Struthio camelus: one gene and its partners. The protein of the gene in region 2 interacts with the protein of the main gene of each other region in a biochemical or structural test. Links are inferred from orthologs where the notes say so. Each region holds a gene or a part of one and is shown on either strand. Other genes may lie near its edges.

Evidence for each region. The genes of interacting proteins can lie anywhere in the genome.
Region 1: the proteins of NEDD4 (region 2) and NDFIP2 form a complex in vitro, tested with the Homo sapiens proteins (3 studies listed by BioGRID, with this or other methods). The link is inferred for Struthio camelus from reciprocal best matches to the Homo sapiens genes NEDD4 and NDFIP2.
Region 3: the proteins of NEDD4 (region 2) and sodium channel protein type 5 subunit alpha form a complex in vitro, tested with the Homo sapiens proteins (3 studies listed by BioGRID, with this or other methods). The link is inferred for Struthio camelus from reciprocal best matches to the Homo sapiens genes NEDD4 and SCN5A.

The regions. Positions count from the first base shown.
Region 1 is NC_090942.1:175,522,674-175,529,875, forward strand, and holds the start of NDFIP2 (NEDD4 family-interacting protein 2), read right to left. Parts: upstream 3,054-7,202; 5' UTR 2,802-3,053; coding exon 2,766-2,801; intron 1-2,765. UniProt on the Homo sapiens protein: Activates HECT domain-containing E3 ubiquitin-protein ligases, including ITCH, NEDD4, NEDD4L, SMURF2, WWP1 and WWP2, and consequently modulates the stability of their targets. As a result, may control many cellular processes.
Region 2 is NC_090953.1:16,358,352-16,366,363, forward strand, and holds the start of NEDD4 (E3 ubiquitin-protein ligase NEDD4), read right to left. Parts: upstream 3,019-8,012; 5' UTR 2,965-3,018; coding exon of another isoform or gene 2,920-2,964; intron 1-2,919. UniProt on the Homo sapiens protein: E3 ubiquitin-protein ligase which accepts ubiquitin from an E2 ubiquitin-conjugating enzyme in the form of a thioester and then directly transfers the ubiquitin to targeted substrates. Specifically ubiquitinates 'Lys-63' in target proteins.
Region 3 is NC_090943.1:7,057,714-7,064,758, reverse strand, and holds the start of sodium channel protein type 5 subunit alpha, read right to left. Parts: upstream 3,054-7,045; 5' UTR 2,985-3,053; intron 1-2,984. UniProt on the Homo sapiens protein: Pore-forming subunit of Nav1.5, a voltage-gated sodium (Nav) channel that directly mediates the depolarizing phase of action potentials in excitable membranes.

The sequences.
Region 1 (7,202 bases), on a different chromosome or scaffold from region 2:
GTCATTCTGTAAGCAAAGATATCATAACTTTAAAGATTATAAGCTTTAAGAATCAGGTGCTAATTAAGTGTATCTGCAATTGTCTTGTTCTTCCATCCTCTGACCCAGCAGAGTAAGCAAATAACATTTTGAAAGTCTCAGTGTCAAGTAGGCAGATGTATGTATAGTAAAAGAAAAACAATACGGTCCTTCCTAAAAGGTAGTAATCAGTAAGATCTTATTTTGAACTCGGTGGTGCATCAAAGATTAAAACAGCACTTTTGTCGTTCTATTGAATTTGTAGTCAGTTATTTAATGTGCTGTAATTGCACAGGCTTCAGGGAACACTTCTGTAACAAAACTCAGTTACATAAATTGGCCACAAAGTTTAATATACATGGGAAATTGATTGGGCCAACTCTTACTATATTACATCAATATCGTTCCTTTTAGAACACTGCAACAAAAAGCATTTATTCAAAGCTGGGCACCAGCACCATAGTTGGAAGTTTTAAATCAAATATAACAAAAAAAAAAATTACAGAGGCAAATTATCTCTTCATTCCATCTTACCATGCTTTTTTCTACTCCTCTGAGTAACGGAAGCAAAATTTCCATTATATTTATCAGACCTCTAACAGCATACACTTTTAAGGCCTTTTAAAACATAACTTGGTTACTTCAGACCTCAGAGGGAATATAGCATTTGAAGGCTCCTCAGAAAATGCTCTGCCAGCATTTTCATTCACCTTTGTAAAGAAGAGCCAATGACTTTTGGACTTCTGCTAATTCTAAATTATGGTAATGTGGCACAGGAAGAGAAGTATGTTAGAAGGCTGCTAACTAACCCATACAGTGCATTGGGACCTGCTAGTGTCCTAAAGGTATACTTCACTCCTGAGAAGATGCAGACTGCCGGGTATGTTCTTCAGCTATATGACTGTCCCACAATATAATCACGCAAGAGCAAACAGAAATCTTCCATACTATTGGTAGGACTATCAAAATGAATATTTCAAATGCATAACAAAGGCTTTCTCATTATTCATTTTAGAGTATAACCTAGGAACAATCCGAATACAAACGTTTGTATTTATTTTTACATAAGTTCACTCTTAGGAGTTCTTTGCTTGCAACCCAGAAGAGCCATTTACCTCTAGAACATGGCATTAATATCACCAGACCCAGAAATACAAGATAACAGATCAAACAAAAGTAAATGTGACTACTTTTGTGCTCATTGTTTTCACTACTCAAGCTGTAAAACACAAACAGTAAGATGAACAATTCAGGCTTTAGATGGAGGATTGTAAAAGAGGTTTAAACTACAATCAGTAGCAAAGATTTCACATTTGTATGGTATCCCCCTTAAATATGTAGCAAAGCCATGAAGTACATGGAACTAAAGGTTAAAATTGAAAATTTTGAAGAGGCTGACTACACGTAAGCCATTTTTGTGACATAATCAGAAAAGCATACACCTTTTAACTATAACTGACACTAAACTAACAACTGATTGAAACAAGCAGTACACTCAACTCAGGCTGGAAGAAGAGCTTAGTATACTAAGTTACTTTTTCAGTAATGAAGTTTAGGAGGAAGGAAAGAGCATTCAAATTAGACTCAATGAACTGTAAAGTACTTCAGTAAACCACTATCCTTGGTGTATGTGTGCATGCACCCACGTGTGTGTACACATATACATACATATATACATAAACACAGGCCTACAGAAGATCTGTCTTCAGTGTTTTACAGTACACTGAATCTAATCTTTAGTCAGCCACAGTACACGTGTGTGTGCGCATACACATATGTGCAATGGCTTACTTAAGATTAGAATATACACACATTAAAATCTATCCCTGTGCTAGATAGCCAAGCAACTGCTAACAATGGCTTTAGAATACAAGTGACACTTCATTCTCTGACACATGTATTAATTAGAGATATTGCCCTATCCTTAATTTCACAGCTAGACAGCACAAAATACTGTTCTTCAAATAAACTTTTGCCAGGACAACAGCTTGAACTATCAGTGAAATACTCAAACAAAGCCAGGCTCTACGAATTTCTCCTGAACATCACAAAAGTAACAAGCTATACAGAGGAGTCCATTTACTTCTTACCTAAGAGGAAAGCATAAGCCACCCGGCTAGATCAGCGAAGATCAAGACAGCTACCACGCAATCAGTTAACCGGGCAAGAAAAACATACTGCCCTCCCGAGCGGAGAGGAGACCGCTGCCATCCCACCTCAGCTCAACTCAGCCCAGCCCTCAACAGCCCCCGCACCGCCACCGACCGCCCCGAGGCAGCCTAAGGGAGGGGAAGCAAGGCCAGCCTGCGCAGGGCGGACGAGAACAGGGAAGGGCACCGGGATTTTCCGCGAAGACAAGCGAGCAGCTCGGCCGGGCTGAGGCAGCCCCCCTCAAGCACACAGCTCCGCGGCGGGCCCCTGCCGAAGCCAAATCCCCCCCTCCCTTCCCGGGGAGGGGCGGCTATCGCGGAGGGGGCAGGAGGGAGGGAGGGAAAAGACAGGGTCGTGCCCGGGCCCGGGCCCACATCACTGCTGGAGAAACGCGAGGCGATCTCTGTCAGACCCTCACATTTGGAGTCGCGTAGGCCCCAAAAAAGGGGGGGAGGGGAGTAGTAGAAAAAAGAAGGGGGGAGGGGGAAAAAAAGGCGAAGGGGCGGGGATGAAAGGGCTTCCGAGTGGGCTCACCTCCCCCTCCCCGCCACGGACCGACCCGGCGGCCGGGCCTCGCCGCGGCCGGCCGCACTCACCACTTGGTAGCGGCTGGCGGCCTGGTGGTGATCCATCCCGGCCGCCGGCGGACGCACACAGTGGCGCGGCCGCAGCTGCTCCGACCAGCCCGATCCTCGCTCAGCCCTTCCTCCCCGCCGCCCGCCCGCTCGCTCAACCGCTGTCGTCGTCGTCGTCGCTGCCGTCGCCGCCGCCGCCTCCTCCTCGCCCACTCCAGCGACGGAGCCGGTCGCCGCCGCCCCTCCCCCCGCTCCGCCGCGCCCCGCCCTCCACCAGGGGAGGGGCCACACCGCCCACCAACGCCTCCCTTCCTGCCGTTGGGCGGGGGGGGGGGGAAGAGGAGCGCGCTGCGGCCCCGCCCTCTGTGACGCGCCGGGGACCGACCGCCGCCGGGAGTGGGGGGGGAAGGGGACGGTGGGCGCGCGCGCCTCTGCGCAGGCGCGGGGCCGCTGGTCGGCCGTTGGGCGGGGTGTTGGGGGGAAGCGTGGAGGTGTTTAAACGGGCGTGCCCTGCCTGGTGGGGGAAACGTATGGGTTTGTCCGTCTTCTCTGCCGTTATGCGAGGCGCAGCGATTTGCGCCTCGGTGTAACCCCCGCCGCCGGAGCTGCTCGGGGAGTGGAGCTGACGGCGTTGCTGGCGTTGGCAGCGCGGCAGCCCCAGGGGCTGTGCTGAGCGCCCTGCCACCAAGGCCCTGCCGGGCGCTGGCCCTGCTGGCTGGTGTCCCCAGCCCTTCTCGGGGTGGGTGTGTACGCTCAGCCCCTCACAGGGTTTGTGCGCCGCTGCCCTTTCCCCCTCTTTTCGGTAGTATTTTTCCTCCTTCTGCACTATCAGCAAGGCTATTCTGTCCACAAAGCATGCGTAGCCTAGCAGCTTATCCCCATCAGGCACGAATAAATAAATAAGGAATAAAGTAGACATCCTTGAGGCCTAGAAGATGATCTGGAGTAGGAATCTTTCTGTACTAATTTTAAGTCAAGAACCTATTTGTCTTCTGTTCCTTTGAAAATTCAAGGCAAAAGCACCATTCTCTGAGAGGAGGAGGAGGAGGAGGAGAAAAACGTTGTGATCTTCTCCTTCACTCGTCTTTCTAAAACTGTAAATGTTTATGTATTGATGTAACACTGATGACCTCCTGGGGTAAAAACAGTGAAAACTTTCACCCTGGTGGCCTGTCAGATCAGTACGACTCCTTCCTAGGTTCCCAAACTGTCAGATACGCAGTCGTAGTTTAAAACAATTTCCAAACAGCTGGGCATACAGCTCCGAGCCATAGTAGAAAGGAGCGTTTGTATGGGGGGGGGGGGTATAGCAGATCCCTAGGATAAACACTCTCATGAAAGCAGATTCTTGCTATCAGTAATGGCTCATGGCAGAACTTTGTCCCGTATAGCCCAGATCACTGCCTTTATCCAGACAGCCTGCTTGTTCGGAGGCTGACCTGAGCGGCAGGCTAAGCGTTGTCACGCAGGCGGTCATTAGCCTGGATAAGGACTTGCAGGAGTGGAGTTTAAGCCCTAGTATGTGTGTGTAGGAGGGCAGAGAAGTGGAGAGCTGGGGGTTGGTTTCGAGGTGGGGGTGGGAGTGAAGGTACACAGGGAGGAGGGAGCGGGAGCATGATGTGCCCAGGACCTCACTTGAAGCCCATCTCTGGCTACCACAACGGTTATTAATAAGCAAACAGACCAAGTTTTGGGAACTTACACGGCCTACTCTTGTTTGTTGCATTTCTTATGTTCCTCATTGAACAACTTGGTTGTGCATAAAAAGGCCTAACAGTCTAGAAACAAAGTTGGCAGAGAAATACAGGTTAGAAATGGACTAATGTTATTATTTTCCTGGCAGGATTTCCTCCCTTTTCCTCTTTACCTCTATACATAATGAAAGTTTCTGTGTTTAATTATTCTGTCTTAAAGGGAAGATTTATTAGTACAGGTCATGTTAAGTTTAAGAATAGCATGTACAGAGTACTGTACTGTGCTTCTGTTACCAAATAGAAGGAAAACCTCTTAATTGTATTATCAGATTTCATGGGAAAGGGAATTTAGACCATTCATATAATAGGTTTAATTTCTAGTGTCTTCTATACTGTTAGAAACAAACTTCCCAAAAGTAGACAGTTTTTAAAGTGTTCAATGTCACATCTGAGTCCAGGAAGATGTTTTCTGGAAAGTGTTGCGTTAATCAGAAATGGAGTTTTGAACAAGTGAAATTTTGAAAATGCTGTCTGACCTCCACATTTTCTTTTCTATGTTTTGTACCTCAGCTCTATTGAATAAAGATGCCTAGAAGCTCCCAGTTGGACACCAGGTGAGTTCTGCTAATAGCTGCCAAAGAACATTTCGCTCTGTAAATATTTAAACAGAATACAAACACACACAACACAGCAACTGAGTAAGCATTTAGTAAGAAGCAAGTTGTAGTTTTAAATTAAAATATACATATATATATATATATTTTTTTTTTTTAAGGAAAGAAAAGACAGCAGATAGGACCACAATGTCTTTAACAAGGAAATTACAAAATATTTCACAGAAGCTGGCAAAAAGATTCAGTAGAGGAATACTGCGTGTGTAGGAAGGGAGCTGCATGCTTAAGGATGAACTTTGGATGCGTGCTACAGCTTAAGAGATGTATAGAAACTCAACTTCTTATTCTTTAGCAGTATTATAAATGCATCCTTAAAACAGACAGTATGGCTTTTGACTCTGAATATGTCCGTCTTTCAGTTCTTGCTCTTTCTGGAATGCTGTAACTCTTCTTTTTAAAGCCACGTAACTGTGTGGGTGGCTGTGTTATTGCACTGATAGAAGGCTAAAAAGGAAGGTCATACGTTCCTGAAAGATATTGTTATTGTCAAAATAGTGTTATCAATATATTTTAACTGCCTTGTTCTAGAGATTTTGTCTATGGCATAATATTAATCTACAGCACAAAGTAATCAGCAAGCACTAAGGCACCTGTAAATGTACACTGAAAGTGAGAAATATGTATTTCAGAACAGTTAGAACTTTATTGCCTAGATAACCAAATCATGTTGATTAAAATATTTGAATAATACAAGTTTTAATATTTATTTTTTTCTGTGTGACCTCCTTAAACCACGGTATACAGTGACAGTAATGGTTATCACTGTTTTCTGGATCATGTAGTAATTTGTTTATTGTGAAAGAGCTGTATTTATGGAAAGTGCTCAGTATGTAAAGAAAATAATGTCAAAATGACATTTAAAAGAAAGCATTGTTTTAGATTTGTTTTAGGAAAGAAGAAATCAATTTGCTTTTAGTCAGCAAGTTTACAACAGTTTAAACTTTGCTCTAACATGAAAATGAGCCAACAAAGGAATCTTTTTGGTAGTAATAACTGTTGCAATCTTAGTACCCTGAGAAGTTGACTTGGAAGCTGTGATCTGAATTCAGATACATCTGAACTTAATTACACAACTGCAAGCACTACAAGATTGTTAACAATTTTAAATTTATTTTTTCATTCATTATTCTATCAATGGTCAGCAAATAAGGAAGTGCTTCTTTACATGCATAAGTCTATTCAAATTTTTAATGTTTCTGATGGGAAAGAAACATTACACAGTGGGTAAACATCAGCACTAGGTCAATTTTATTTTAATAAACATACATAAGCAATATTGCATTTTATACTATTTTACTATTTGATACCGTTTAAGTCAATATTGTGCTTTCTATGCTGTATTGCTTACTATACTACGTAAAAAACCTAGAGAGAATGAAAGCTGTTCATTTATATCCAAAAAATGAAGACAAAAATAATTTTTGTAACTTAATTTTGCATCTTGAGCCTTGGTTTTCAAACCTATAATGCAAACAATGTCCCTGAGAAATAAGTAGATTTGTCCAAAGATAAATTTAAAGAAATTAATGTACTTATTTAATTTACTCATGGACTGACCTGAAATCAGGTCATAGATTTATTTACTGGCTGTATTTGTTTTCTTCACTGTTTGCAAACTATGTTTATAAATTATTTAATTTTAATTCTATGTTCTTGATTATATAAACTGCATAACAATTTTGATCTCTGTATGGATTTTGACAGCTACTCTAAGACGGAAGCTGACTAAAAGAAACCACTGGGACTGAATTTCTAAAAAAGAAATAATAGGAGGTTGGCTTGGTTTTCTTCATCTTTTCTTCTCCTTTTCTAGGCAGCACAGGCAATGCCAGAGCCATCATTAACAGGAACGCTAGGCTACTTTTAAGATTTCTTAGCTGAAAATAGAGTTTCAATTACATTACCATCATCTTTATTCATATGTAAATACATATGTATAGTCCTGCAGATCAGGTCCAAATATCACGCAGATATATCTGAACCAGCTTTAAATATAATTACTGCAGCACAGAGCTCAGGGTGGGAAACATCTCAGATATTTGCCTTGGTCTAGGATGGATTTTGCAGTCTACACTGATCTGTATGCTGAC
Region 2 (8,012 bases):
CTGAAAGTTTTGCATTCGGAAGTCTCTCAGCCAAAAAATCTTTAGCTGAGGACACCCTACCTCACAAGCACATTTAAGAACATCAGCAAAATCAGCGCTACTTTCACAAAGAAAAGCAGCAGTTGCATCCATCAACTTCTACAAATATGAACCAACACTTGGAACTATATCCAAAGGCAGACATATACTTGTATGCAATAACAGGAACAGTTACCCACTTCACAGGTCAAGACAAAGTCTGCAGCAGTTAATGCTCCCAACTGATTTTTTTTCAAGTGGCCTCAAGCAAAGTGCACGGAGAGAAAGTCTGACCTGAAGGTGGGAAACGCACTTTAAAGTGTTTCTTTCCTTTTCAAGGCAAGGTAAATGAGAGGAGAAAAATTAATCTTAAAAATCTTTGTAAAAGCTCTTTATTTTCCTGGATTGAGAAAGGAGTAATCTCTTTTGTCTTTTTTCTATATACTATTCCTGCAATGTAGAATAGTTTACAATAAAAACAGATTTTAGACACTTGATTAGTATTCAGTCTTGTTCTTCGATATAACTTCGTCAAAAAAAGCCGAACGGTACCAGGAATTGTGATCACTGGGCAACTATAATTTTGTTCCTACTGCATATTTATTTTAGCCTGCTACTGCGTATTTCATCTTGCCAGAACCTTTGATACAACCATAGGTCACACTTTCTAAGAGACAACAACTGTTGTTTACTAAGGAAACAAACCAGGTAGTATTCAACAAGCAACTATTCTGTATCTTCTTCTCTCTTCTTCTTTCAGCATGTGATCCCAGACCTTGTTTTGCACATACTGTTAAGACCCCATTCTGAATACAAAATTATTAATTCTCCTCATGGGCTGCTTTTCTAGTGCTCACTCTTTCAACATCCAAGTGAGCCACAAAAGTCCTACTGGTGACAGAATGGTATTATATCCATTTTATAGAATAAAAACTGAACCGGAAAAATTAAGACCAATTGCATTTGCTACAATTTGGCACTGAAATTCAGATACCTAAACACAGCATACACAATATCCAGCTGTATACACCGTGCCCTAAGCTACAGCTTCCTTCTGACCCCAGCCTCTTTGCCAACATTTTCATTGTGCCAGCAACATGATATTAACAGCCCCGTACTAAGGGTCTGAATGACTAATACACCATTAAGCAAGCTATCAGGGATAAATTCTGGAAGGGGGGGAGGGGGGGTGGAAGTCTCCAATGCTGCATTCAGCTGCCTCAACAATTAGACCAAGCCCTCCAGAGGTAAGCAGACAACTTCAAACCATATCCCAAGCAAACCTCTCTCGTGGAATGGGTCAAACAGCAGCCCCGCGGGAAAAGCAGGGTCCAGACATAAACTATGGAAAGGCTGCAGATCAAGGTGCAGGTGTACTGGTGTGGAGAAGGAGTTTACAGACAGCTCCTTGATACTACTTCTTTCTTTTCTGTATGGTTTGGTTTTCTAATTCTGTGTCTTTACTGTAATTCTGTGAAGGCAATTTTGCAGATTTAAACTCTGGGAAGAAAAAAAAGAAGAGAATCCAGGGAGATAGGAACTCTAGTTTTAATTCTAGCACCCTAGTCCAAAGCAGCTGGCAGCAGATTTTCTATAACCCAAAGACTATCCATTTTATCATTTGTGCACGTATAGTCATACACTGAAACTATGAAGAAAACCGCACATGTTCTTTAAGTGTTTATCAATATACAGCAACTGAATATCAAAGTCTCTGATGGTAAACAAACTGTGTTTTAAAAAACTGTAACTTGAGAAAGTGTGGCTAAGCTTTTAAGTTGTGGAAATAGTTAAATATGAAAGAATCGTTACATACAACTTTCTTTCCTCCCCCTCCCTCCAAAGACTTCATGTTCCAAAGGATGTAGGAAAAGTAGAATTGTTCAATTGTGAGCCGATTTCAAAATTTCTTCCCCACAGCAGGCAGGCTAAGCAACAATTAAGCTGGCTGAAATTTAATAAAATAAATTAAAATACAGAGCCTGAGGCATGGAATATTTCAGTCCAAGTGGATAGCCTCAGAAAGTTGCAAGCAACTGAAAACAGGATCTTCCAATGGAAGTGCTGGACAGCCCTAACAGCATGTTGGGCTAATTTTCTAGGAGAGTTCCTACCCCACTGAAGTTTTTAAGAAGAAAAATTAACTTATTAGAGCTTTTTGGTTACTTCTGGAGAAGTAATACACCAATTACAGCTAACAGACTTCAGGAAGACGTTAGCCTTCTGTCAGGCTAACAGACTAGGAAGAGTATTTCAAAGTTAAAAGAACAAAACAACCCTGCTAAGCCCGCAACAAAGGCGCGTTGACAGAGAGAACATCACCGAGGGACACAGAAAGAGCCGATCGAAGACAATCTTGGTGAAACGCCCTGCTGGCTCGAAAACAACAGTACCGACATGTCGCCCAGGTCACCGCACAGCTGTCTGAGGGAAAGCGCTGCGACTGAAGGGGGGAGCGGAAGGGGACAGGCCGCCCCCCCCCCCCCAACGCAGGTAACGCTCAGAACGAGCGGGCGCTGCTGGCCGAGGCCCGCGCCGCCCGCGCCCCGCTGCCTCCCCCGCGGCCGCCCCGCCCGCGCCACCCCAACCGCTCAGACAGCGGCTCCGACGCGGCCGGAAACAAAGGCTCGATCCGCCAGCGCTCCTCGCCCGCCCGGCGCGGTACCGACCGGGTCACCGCGCCCGCCCGCCCGGCGGAGGGGGCGGCACGGCGCTGCGGCAGCCTGCGCAGGGCCGCGCTGCCGCCCCGGCTCCGCGAGCGAGGCGGCGGCGGCGGGACCTGCCGGGCTCCGCTCCGCCGGGCCGGGCCGGGCCGGGCCGGGCCCACCCCGCGGGGAAGCCGCCGCCCGCCTTCCGGCGCGACGGGACGCGGGGAGAGCGGGGCGGCCCCGCCAGGCTCACCTCCTCGCCGGGCAGCCCGAACACCTCGACGGGAGAAGCCGCCATGACCGCGCCGGCGAGCCGAGCCCGCGCCCTCCCCGCCGCCGCCGCCGCCCCGCCCCGCCCCCTCCCCTGGCTTCGCCGCAGCGCGCGCGCCCTCCCCCGCCCTGATTGGCGGGAACCCCCCGCGCCGCGCCCACCCCCCGGGAGGCGGGCGCGCCTCCTGATTGGCGCCCGCTCCGCGGCCCACCCGGAGACGCGCGCCGGGCGGGGGGGCGCGCGCGGGCCCGCCCCGCCTCAGGGCCCGCCCGCCCGCCGCGACGGGCCTCTGCCCGCCCCGACGGGAGGAGGGTCCTGAGGCGGGGCCGAGCCTCCCCTGCCCCGCTCGAGCAGCTCGTCTGAGCTAACAAGAGATGAACGAAAGAAATCATCAGGGATTTTTCTTTTCTTTCCTTTTCTTTTTTTAAAAAGGTCTGCCTAACCCTGCTGTTTAGATCGTTGGTGTCTTTCCTGCACCTCTGAAGGCCAGGGGCTTCTCCTCAAGCCTCGAGGGTCCCTGCCTAACCACTTCATGTCCAGAGTGCCTTGGGGATCACAGAACTCGGTAAAAACTGGCAGAAGGAAAAGTAAGATTCATTGACATGAAGAAAAGCCTTTCCAGCCGGGCTGAGATGGTGTTGCCTTGCGAGGGCACTCAGCGGAGGAAGGAAGTTGCACATTGTGTAAGGAGCTGACCTGATGTAACAGCCAAGCCAGGAGAGCCTGAGAACACCAGAGGAGGAAAAGGGATAGCTTGCAAAAGCCTAGTTTGGAATCAATGTAACAGTGTCATAAAGACTTTCCTTTTTCTCAAAAAAAAAAAATCTCAAACTTACAAGCAACAGCAGCGTGTTGATGAGGGAGCATGTTAGCATTTCTGGTGAACGTCTGAGGTCATCCTCAAATTACCATTCAGTGGTGTTTCTGAGCAGTCTTTCTTTATATACATTCCCGTTTAAAGGGTCTAGTTCTGTGATATTTTTGCACGTGGTCTGAATTCATCCTGCCTTTCACAGTGCCCTGTGAATCACACAGGATTCCCTGCCCACTGGCCTTCCCCACCAGCAGAGGACAACTGGAAGAGCTGGGCTAGGAAAACTAAATAAAGCAGGGTGCTTTAGTCTGAGCTCTGTAGTTGTAAATGTTCGTACAAGCCTGAGCTAAGCTTCTCTGTGTACTGAGCAGGCTGTGAGCTAGAAAGCAGAGCTTCATTTCAGGAAGAACACATGGAAAACCATGTATGTAGCTAAGGGTGGGCAAACATAGCAGCACCTGTGCTGGCAGAAAATGAATTTCTTTCATCAGCTTTGAGCCCATCCAACCTGGCCCCTCACAAATCTACTTCTCTCATCAGATGATGAAAAACTTCTGCCCTTACCAAAACAAACACAGGCCCAGGCTCCTCTCTCTGAGCTATGCCCCTAGCAGACTGCAAAACATGCAGGTAGCTAACACGTTCCCGCCAGGGCTTGGGCAAGCCTGTGGTAGTTATCAATCACACATGTTTACACTCTCCTCCCAGGGCTAGCTGGAGGCTCTGAGAAAAAGCAGTCTCAGCAACAGGGCTAGACCACCCAAGACACTTGTTCTCTGACCAGTGAACCTGTACTCTCAATTGCTTGGAGCCTGACTGCTGTTTCATGTTATGGGAAAGGATCAGCCCTCAGGAGCTCACTGACAAGGTTGTGCAGGGTTTATATCCCATTCTCCAGGTCCATCATTTTGAGGTCTGTGGACAGAAAGCTTACAGCTCTAGCTGGTTAGCTCCAGATGATATGTGGTCATTGACCCTGGTGGTCAGTGATGCCTCATATGGTCTGTTTAAACCTTAGCTAAGGTAACTTTCAGGAAACTATGCATTTCATGCATCATTTACATTCTGCAAAACCTTAGTTCACCAACCATCAACAGAAAGTTGGTCATCTTCTTTAATGGATCTTGCTGCTCCTTGCTTCCAGCTTTTTCTCATCTGTTCACTTACAGGGTGGGTTCTGCAGCCGTCAGTTGTCTTTGCAGTCTTTCAGTTCTCGCCACGGAAGTGATAACAGAAAACAGCTTTCCGTATAGCTGGAGGAGGAGCTCTAGTCGCCCCATCTTCAGCTTCTATGTGAGTATCTGTCTGAGTCTATAATGTAGAGGGGATTAGCCTCTAGTTTAAGTTTTTGCTCCTCCAGTAGTCTGCTCAGCCTGGACTGTAGCCTATTGCTGCAGCATACACTGCTGGTTCCAGTAGAGTCTGGACCATCCATATTAATTTTTGCATTTGTACTTGCTTGTCTTTTGCTTCTTCTTCTTCTTCTTTTTTTTTTTTTTCCCTTTAATTACTGGTAAGAATTGCTGTGGACAGATCACAAGGGTCTGGACTGTGGACACACTGTTGTCTAGAAAGAGAGTTCTGTTGGTGAGACAGACTGATAGCTCCTAACATACATTTTGTCTCTGTGAAAAAGTACAGTTTTTTCTAATAATTGAGACTGAACTCTGCTGACAGAGACGGTAGCCAGTCCCAGGGATTCTCTCTATATATCCTATTTTCAAACTTTCTCACCTGATGTCGACAGCTTGTTATACCAGAAGAGACTAGCTGAGTCCTTGACCATTCTCAGGCTACTTATACAGCGGAGACTGGAAGGCAAGAGTAGTATATAACGGTGCCTTTTGTAGAGCTATCTGGGATTCTTTCTTGTAAGAGCTTCCTTCAGATAACTGACTCGATGGGCCCATGGCAGATCGATTGGTTCCATAAGCCTTAAACAAGGACTCTGCCTATCGGCCTTGCCAATGAATAGTCTAGATCCACCTTCCCTAACTGTGTTCTCTGCTGCACAGGATCTTTTTTAAGGCAACTTCTTTCATTAAGTAGTTCTGGGCAAGGTAAACATGCCTCCAAAGACAGAGCAAAACTATTCAAAAAGGACACTTCTATTACAACATAAACGCTTGTTTACTTGATAACATTACTCAGTAGACTTCCTAACTTCAGAAAAGGTGCTGTGTAGATTTCCCATGTTTTCCTAACGGATTGATAACCAGACATGCTGGTACCTTGGCCTGTTCTCCTCTCACCAGTTTACCAGTTATGAAAGGGCTAGTACCAGCCAGTGAGTATAGATCTGTTTTTGCCAGCATCAGTTCATCCATGTTCCAGAAATGAGTGTAGGGTATAACGTATGAAAAATCAGGTGAGTGCACTTAGACTGGTGAAAAACAGGCAATGTGGCCTTCAGGCAAGAGACAATAGTGTCGTAGTCGTGATAGTCAATGAATACGAACAAGGTAAATTCATATGGAGAAACAGTACCTTTTATTAGACCAACTGATAAAGTTTGGAAAAAAGACCCAGATAAGCTTTTGGGTAAATTCAAAAGAAACAGTCCCCTTCCTTCTCTGGGTCAAACCTCTAGACCTCTAACATTTTCTCTCTAAGTCTTGTTCACTTAGCCCTGCCTAAAGCACTCTTTCCCACCGCTAATTTAGAGGTATCGCCAAATTTAAGCAGGAAGGCTCCTGGGTGAATGCCAAGCAAAGATAATCTGCCTAAGTTGCAGCAGGCACAATTTCTTGGACCAGTTACTTTGTAAAGCACTCTTGTTGCTGTAATTGAGCCTAACGTTGATTAGTAAATTGTTCTTACAGCTTGCAAGAAAAACACATGGATTTGCTGCTGTTAAGCATGAATACGTGATTTTGCAGTGCTGCATCTTGCACTATGTCGTTAGTGTGCACAAACCCAGCCAGAGAGAAAGTATCAGACCCTGGAGGGCTGTTTCATCTGAATATACCCAACAGCTTGTTTTTTTGTTTTCCAAATTACATTAGTTAATCCAGTAAATAATGTTATTTTATTTCTCCATATAAATCTTCTACTACAACACTACTGTCATTTGCCTGAACTCTCCATTGTCCGTTTTTCTGAGGTTTAAGGCTCAGCTTTTCTGTACACTGGAAGTCTATGAGAAGAAGCGCTCTCAAGCAGCTTGAAGCTCCATTTAACAAGGATTTTGTTTGTGAAGATTTTACTAGCACAATAAAAGTAATTGGGCTTTTTTGTAAGCCATCAACACTCAAACATTAATTTCTGAGTAAGGCATCATTTCCAAAACTGCTGAATTTTAAACAGGATATTAGCCTACTCCATTTGTGATATTAAATTTTTAAAGGAGCAGATTGCAATACTGCCCCAAATTACTTCCCACTGATTTATTTTTGTGTGGAAAGACCACTGACTGTCCAGAGCAGGAGCAACAATACAGCCAAATCTCAAATCCATAGCTAGTCATCTGCTATCAGTAAGGCTTGTGTTTCCCATCTTGTTATGCAAAGGCATGCACACACTGAGAAAAGGTCTACATGCATTTTCAATGGGATCGAGAATTGTCTTCAGTAGCTCAGCAAGCCATCTAGCAGTTCACGCAAAATACAGTTTTAAGTTAAAATACTTCTCTTGTATCTAAAAATAGGGGAAAAATAAACTACAGCCTGTTTGTTAAGTATACATTCAGTTCTTACATAAGATACGTATCTTCAGCCTTTAATATTTTATAGTCTTTTGTAGTTACAGACTAATAGCAGAAGATATTTCTTCTGAGAGATCTTCTTTCTGCAAATAAATAATTTTCAGCTGGACAGAAAAACCTGCATTTGGATCGTTTGTGCGCAATGGAACGCTTTCTCCTACATCAAGACCATTAAAAACAAATGAATATTTAATCATCTCATTACTCTATCCCAGTAGCGAGTTCTCATCCCGTAGCAAATAAATTTGCCTTCTATTACTGTCTGAATTAACCTTCATTCACATGAAAGGCTGAAAAATTACGAATTTTTAATTTTTTCCCATTTCTTAAATGGTGGCATTTAGCCTGATAGACACAGTTAGTGGCCTGAATTTTATATTCATTTACAACATTTGGTTTGTTTCTTTCTTTGCACTAAATGTTTTTATGGCCTTAAGAGAATCCATACACTGTAATACTTGACTGCCTTGAAAAAAAATCCATTCACTGCAATACTTGATTGCCTTGAAAAAAAACCCACACTAGTGTTTGTGTTTATAGGATAAAATAATTTCAAAA
Region 3 (7,045 bases), on a different chromosome or scaffold from region 2:
CCTTCTGAAAACAACAAGTCTCTTTCATATCTTTCAAACTGAGCTTCCAAATACGAAGGCATCTAAGGTGATACCAGATGATAACCTGTCCCTTCAGAAAAGCATAACCAGGATTTCCAAACACTAGCCCAACATGCCTTATCATGCGACCTCACATGATCTTTCCTCACATACATGTGCAGAACATTCCTTCAAGATACTAGAGAGAAAATGCTCATGAAAAGGAAAAGAAAATAAGGTATCAATCCTCTTCTAATGTCATATACAGGATTTTTTTTTTAAATAGCTATGTTTCCTAAATCTCCTGTTTCATTCAGGACTCCATTCCCTAGCAATACATTTTTAGATATAATTTTGAGCATACAGTTGAAGCAAGAACATAGCAACTACTCCACAGTTTTTTGTGACCCAGCAACTACTCCACGGTTTTCTGCGGCCTGCAGAAGTCCTGGGAGGTGTTAGCTGGTCCTGCAGGTGTTTTTCTATCACAGCGAGCACAGGGACATCTCTGATGATACATGTCAGGAAAACAGCGCTTTCAACAGTGAAACACTTTTAAACACTGTACCCATAAGCTGTCATTCAGAGTGAGGAAGCCTCATGGTCTACATACACCCTTCATGGTCAAAGTATTTGGGTTACATACCCAATGATGTAACTGAATTCCTCTGCGATCTCTGACAAATGATTTAACCTCCTCTGAAATGAGGGTATGAAACAATATCAGTTCTCTATCATACTGTACAGAGTTTTGGCATGCTTTAAATCTGCAGCACTCCTTGCAGTGTAAACTACTTCTCCATGCGAACATGGGTATCAGAATTTGACCCTTTGTGGTTGCAGAGCCCCTTGAGAGTCTCAGACAGAAGTACAAACTGTATTATGGATAGCTTCAGATTAATATCAAGAACTGAGAAAAACCACATGTCACAACACCGATCTCCAATCATGTACAAGTTAAGTATCATATTCTTCTGTGATTATTTCTGGCAACACTGTGATCCGTTTCATACAAAGAATTACATACTACTCAGATATTTTGGCATAAATCTAAAAATATCACAACTTGCACCACGGGCTTCCATTTATATTGTTCACTTGTTCAGACACTTACCCCCCAAAATAGACTCTTTTCTTAAGTAGCCTCTGTTTCTAAAGGTCCCGTTCAACTTTGGTAACCATATGAAAAGGCTTACACCAGAAAAGAGTATTTCCAAAATCATCACTCCCATCCCATTTGTATCATTCTCATCCCATCCCGTCCCCGACATGGAGCTTCCCTCTGTTTTTTTGGAACCAGCTAATGTCTCACTGAAGGCAACATACTCAAACCAACAGCAGCAACATCCTCAAATGCACCACGTTTTTGGCCCATTAGCACAAAGGGAGATCCACTCCCCACTGCCCTGCAGCTCTGACCTTTTCAATTCTCTGCCACCAAAAGCTTATAGGATCTGCCGGATCCATCTGCGACTCCACCTGGCCTGCTTTCCCACGCCAAAAGGACGGATCAAATATACGTGTCTGAAAACACATCCCTGCTTCCTCTTGGCACCACCCAGGAGGTACCCTCCAACTCAAACTGCACCGCTTTAACACGAGAGGAAGCCTGCAGCAATCACCTGTGCAAAACCCTTAAATCCTCGGAAATGACAGCAAAATGCACTTCAGCACCTTGGACAGGACACAGGCACACACACACGCAAAATGGGGAAATCAGCAGAGCAGCCCTGAAAGTGTTGAAACCGCACATGACCCTACAGGACACATCTGCGGGCCTGTTTATTTTTAGTATTGACAAATCCTCTTTGAATCGCAGTGTTTATGACCGGTCTTTCAGGAAGAGTTGTTGGTCCCCCGGGAGGTGGGGGACATGGGGGCCACCAGGTTCGCTCCCGGCACCCGTCTCCGGGGTCAGCACCTGCCCCGGGCACAGCTGGAAAGGCTCAGCTGAAGCACCCGCTAACCTCAACTCCTCCTTTCCAGGCAAAATGAGACCTGTTGCTGTGCGTGTGTCGCCTGTGTGCACCTCTGCTTTTTAGAAGCTCATCTCCTCCTCCTCCTCCTCATCCCAATCTCCCAGGGGGAAAAAAAAAAATATTCCCATTGCAGTCACAGTCTGGTTGCGTAAGTTTTGTTTTAATTCAGATTTCGTTATCTCGTACGGTGCTCCGAGTATGTCCCTGTTCCCCTCTAGGCTGTCTTGATAAAATCATGATCACCTTGCCAGAGCGCAGCACAGCTCTCTGTGCTTTTCTTTTATTTGTACAAGTCAAGTAGAGTTTTTGATTTGGGCTGGTTAAAAAATCCATATATTTAAAGCAGGGCCTCCAAGGGGCAGCCCTTTGAAGTGAGCGACATATACACATAATATATTATGTCAGTTCTTACAACAAATAATATCAGTAATAGTCTTATAGAAGAATGATAAATTTTCCTTGCCACCATGGAAATACCCCCCCGAATTAATTTCTTCCCTTCCCAATGTGCTACTAAATTTCCGTTCAAACACATCTGCTACCACATTACATTCACCAAACTATTTGCTGAGTATCCTCCGTGTTGTTGCTATTGTTATTATTATTACTATCATTATTATTATTAATTATTATTATCAGCGGCAGTTTCAGATGCAGAAGCCCGAGGGAAACCAGCTCGACTCGCAGCAAGAGTTACCCCTCAGCAGCCAAACCTCAGCCTTAGCACCCCGGGGGGCGAGCCTGGCCGCTCCGCCGGCCGCTTCTCGCACCTGCCGCGCCAGCCTCCCCGCCACCCTCCCCACGCGGGACGGCCCGAAGCGGCACCCGGCGAGGGGCGCGGGGGAAGGGGAGCGGGACGCGGCGCTACCGGCTCTCCCGGCTAGCGGGGAAAGTTTGGGTCTCCAAGCAGGGCAAGGGGAAATTCCTCCTCCTCAGGCACGCTTCGAACCGGACTTCTTCGTGGCGTCCTTTTTATTAGCGAACAAGCAAAAAAGAGGAACTTACATTGGTTTATTTAATTTTCCCCGCTAAACCAAGAGTCCCAGATTCACTTCATTGTATCCACAGAGTTTTAGTCCCCGCGTGAGCACTCCCCGCGGCCAGGGCCATGGTGCTCGGTGCGCTCCGCGCCGCGGCGGCGCGCCGCTGCCCTCCCCGCCGGCCGCCGCCGCTCCCAGGCTGCCCGGCTCGGCGGTGCCGCCGCCGTGTGCTCGGTGCCGCCCCGCGCAGCCCCGCGCAGGCGGGGGGAGAGCGGGGCGGGGGGGGAGCGCGGGGCGGTGCCGCCGCCCGCCCCGCCCCGCCGCCGGCACCGCCCCGGCCCGGCCCGGCCCGCCCAGCCGCCGGCACCGGCACCGGCATCGGCACCGCGGCGCCCCCTGCCGGCCAGCGGCGGCGGAGCGGGGGGAGGAACCGGGGGAGGAGAGGGGGTGGGGAGCGGGGAGGAAGGAGGGAGGGGGAGGAAGGAGGGATGGGGGAAGGATGGGGAGGAAATTGGGATGGGGGAAGGATGGGGAGGAAGGAGGGATGGGAAGGAAGGAAAGGGAGAAGGATGGGGAGGAAGGAGGGATGGGGGAAGGATGGGGAGGAAGGAGGGATGGGAAGGAAGGAAAGGGAGAAGGATGGGAAGGAAGGAGGGATGGGGGAAGGATGGGGAGGAAGGAGGGATGGGAAGGAAGGAAAGGGAGAAGGATGGGGAGGAAGGAGGGATGGGGGAAGGATGGGGAGGAAGGAGGGATGGGAAGGAAGGAAAGGGAGAAGGATGGGGAGGAAGGAGGGATGGGGGAAGGATGGGGAGGAAGGAGGGATGGGAAGGAAGGAAAGGGAGAAGGATGGGAAGGAAGGAGGGATGGGGGAAGGATGGGGAGGAAGGAGGGATGGGAAGGAAGGAAAGGGAGAAGGATGGGGAGGAAGGAGGGATGGGGGAAGGATGGGGAGGAAGGAGGGATGGGAAGGAAGGAAAGGGAGAAGGATGGGGAGGAAGGAGGGATGGGGGAAGGATGGGGAGGAAGGAGGGATGGGAAGGAAGGAAAGGGAGAAGGATGGGGAGGAAGGAGGGATGGGGGAAGGATGGGGAGGAAGGAGGGATGGGAAGGAAGGAAAGGGAGAAGGATGGGGAGGAAGGAGGGATGGGGGAAGGATGGGAAGGAAGATGGGATGGGAAGGAAGGAAAGGGAGAAGGATGGGAAGGAAGGAGGGATGGGGGAAGGATGGGAAGGAAGGAGGGATGGGAAGGAAGGAAAGGGAGAAGGATGGGAAGGAAGGAGGGATGGGGGAAGGATGGGAAGGAAGGAGGGATGGGGGAAGGATGGGAAGGAAGATGGGATGGGAAGGAAGGAAAGGGAGAAGGATGGGGAGGAAGGAGGGATGGGGGAAGGATGGGGAGGAAGGAGGGATGGGAAGGAAGGAAAGGGAGAAGGATGGGGAGGAAGGAGGGATGGGGGAAGGATGGGGAGGAAGGAGGGATGGGAAGGAAGGAAAGGGAGAAGGATGGGAAGGAAGGAGGGATGGGGGAAGGATGGGAAGGAAGGAGGGATGGGGGAAGGATGGGGAGGAAGGAGGGATGGGAAGGAAGGAAAGGGAGAAGGATGGGGAGGAAGGAGGGATGGGGGAAGGATGGGAAGGAAGATGGGATGGGAAGGAAGGAAAGGGAGAAGGATGGGAAGGAAGGAGGGATGGGGGAAGGATGGGAAGGAAGGAGGGATGGGAAGGAAGGAAAGGGAGAAGGATGGGAAGGAAGGAGGGATGGGGGAAGGATGGGAAGGAAGGAGGGATGGGGGAAGGATGGGGAGGAAGGAGGGATGGGAAGGAAGGAAAGGGAGAAGGATGGGGAGGAAGGAGGGATGGGGGAAGGATGGGGAGGAAGGAGGGATGGGAAGGAAGGAAAGGGAGAAGGATGGGGAGGAAGGAGGGATGGGGGAAGGATGGGGAGGAAGGAGGGATGGGAAGGAAGGAAAGGGAGAAGGATGGGAAGGAAGGAGGGATGGGGGAAGGATGGGAAGGAAGATGGGATGGGAAGGAAGGAAAGGGAGAAGGATGGGGAGGAAGGAGGGATGGGGGAAGGATGGGGAGGAAGGAGGGATGGGGGAAGGATGGGAAGGAAGGTGGGATGGGAAGGAAGGAAAGGGAGAAGGATGGGGAGGAAGGAGGGATGGGGGAAGGATGGGAAGGAAGATGGGATGGGAAGGAAGGAAAGGGAGAAGGATAGGGAGGAAGGAGGAATGGGGGAAGGATGGGGAGGAAGGAGAGATGGGGGAAGGATGCGGAGGAAGGAGAGATGGGGGAAGGATGCAGAGGAAGGCAGGATGGGGAGGAATGATGGGGAGGAAGGAGGAATGGGGAGGAAGGATGGGGAAGGAAGGTGGGATGGGAAGGAAGGAAAGGGAGAAGGATGGGGAGAAAGGAAGGATGGGGAGGAAGGAGGGATAGAGAGGAAGGAAAGGGAGAAGGATGGGGAGGAAGGAGGGACAGGGAGGAAGGAAAGGGAGAAGGATGGGGAGGAAGGAAGGATGGGGAGGAAGGATGGGGAAGGAAGGTGAGATTGGGAGGAAGGAAAGGGAGAAGGATGGGGAGGAAGGATGGGGAAGGAAGGTGAGATTGGAGGAAGGAAAGAGAGAAGGATGGGGAGGAAGGAGGGATGGGGGAAGGATATGGAGGAAGGAGAGATGGGGAAGGATGGGGAGGAAGGAGGGATGGGGGAAGGTAGGATGGGGAAGGAAGGTGGGATGGGGAGGAAGGAAAGGGAGCAGGATGGGGAGGAAGGAGGAATGAGGAGGAAGGATGGGGAAGGAAAGCGAGATGGGGAGGAAGGAAAGGGAGAAGGATGGGGAGGAAGGAGGGATGGGGGAAGGATGCAGAGGAAGGAGAGATGGGGAAGGATGGGGAGGAAGGAGGGATGGGGAAGGAGGGATGGGGGAAGGATGAGGGGGAGGGTGGGATGGGGAAGAAGGAGAGATGAGGAAAGGATGGGGAGGAAGGAGGGATGGGGGAAGGATGGGGAAGAAGGATGGGGAAGAAGGAGAGATGAGGAAAGGATGGGGAGGAAGGATGGGGAAGAAGGATGGGGAGAAAGGAGGAATGGGGAAAAGGTGAGGAGGAAGGAAGGATAGGGGAAGGATGGGGAGGAAGAAAAGGCAGGAAGGATGGGGAGAAAGGAGCGATGGGGAAGGATAGGGAAGAAGGATGGGGAGGAAGGAGGGATGGGGAGGAAGGATGGGGAGGAAAGAGGGGTGGGAAAGGAGGAGGAAGGGAGGATGGGGAAGAATGGGGTGGAAGAGGCGTGGGAAGGAAAGAGGCATGGGGGAAGATGGGGAAGGACTGGGAAGAAGGAAGGAGGGATGTAGAGGACAGGGAAGGAGGAAGGATAGGAAGGAAAGAGGGACGGGTGGATGGAGGGATAGAGTCAGGGGAAGGATGGGGGAGGAAAGAGGGAGGGGAGGAAGGAGGGCTGGGGAAGAAGGAGGGCTGGAGCTGTGGGCAGCCTGCAGGGGCTGGACTAGGCAGCGAGGAGAACCACCCGGGTTTGGGGTCAGAGGGAGCGGACGGGGCCAGAGGGACAGAGCAGGGAGGAGAGGCACTAGGGGAGCCAGGGCAGGAAGGGAGCAGCCTCGCAGGGGAGAGGGGGACAGGGGTCAGGGGCAGGCACCATGCGGACCTGCTGCTCCCCGCCATGCCGCGGGAGCAGCCCGGCGACTCCAGCTCCTTGGCAGGGCGCCTCGGGACTCAAGGAGCAGATGCGAGGCTGGGTTTTGTTCGGCTGCATTTTTCTCAAGTTATTGAAATTGTAAAGTTTAGGCTTTGATTTAAAGTTCCCAATGAACAGAAGAAGTGGCTTTTACAGAAACTGAGCTGGCATGGGGAAATTGCTAAGGTTCTCCATGCGGGGAAAAACTACTGCTTACAAGACTGAGGGTAAAAGGCAGGAATTCAGTGTCGATGTTCACGGTGGGGGGAGGTCAGCAGCAGAGTCCCGGCAAAACCATGCCACACCTTGCCTTCTTCAGCGCTCATGACAGGAGGTGGAGAACGGGGTGACAGAGTTTGCTGTCACTGTTGAAGTATTCGGGGTG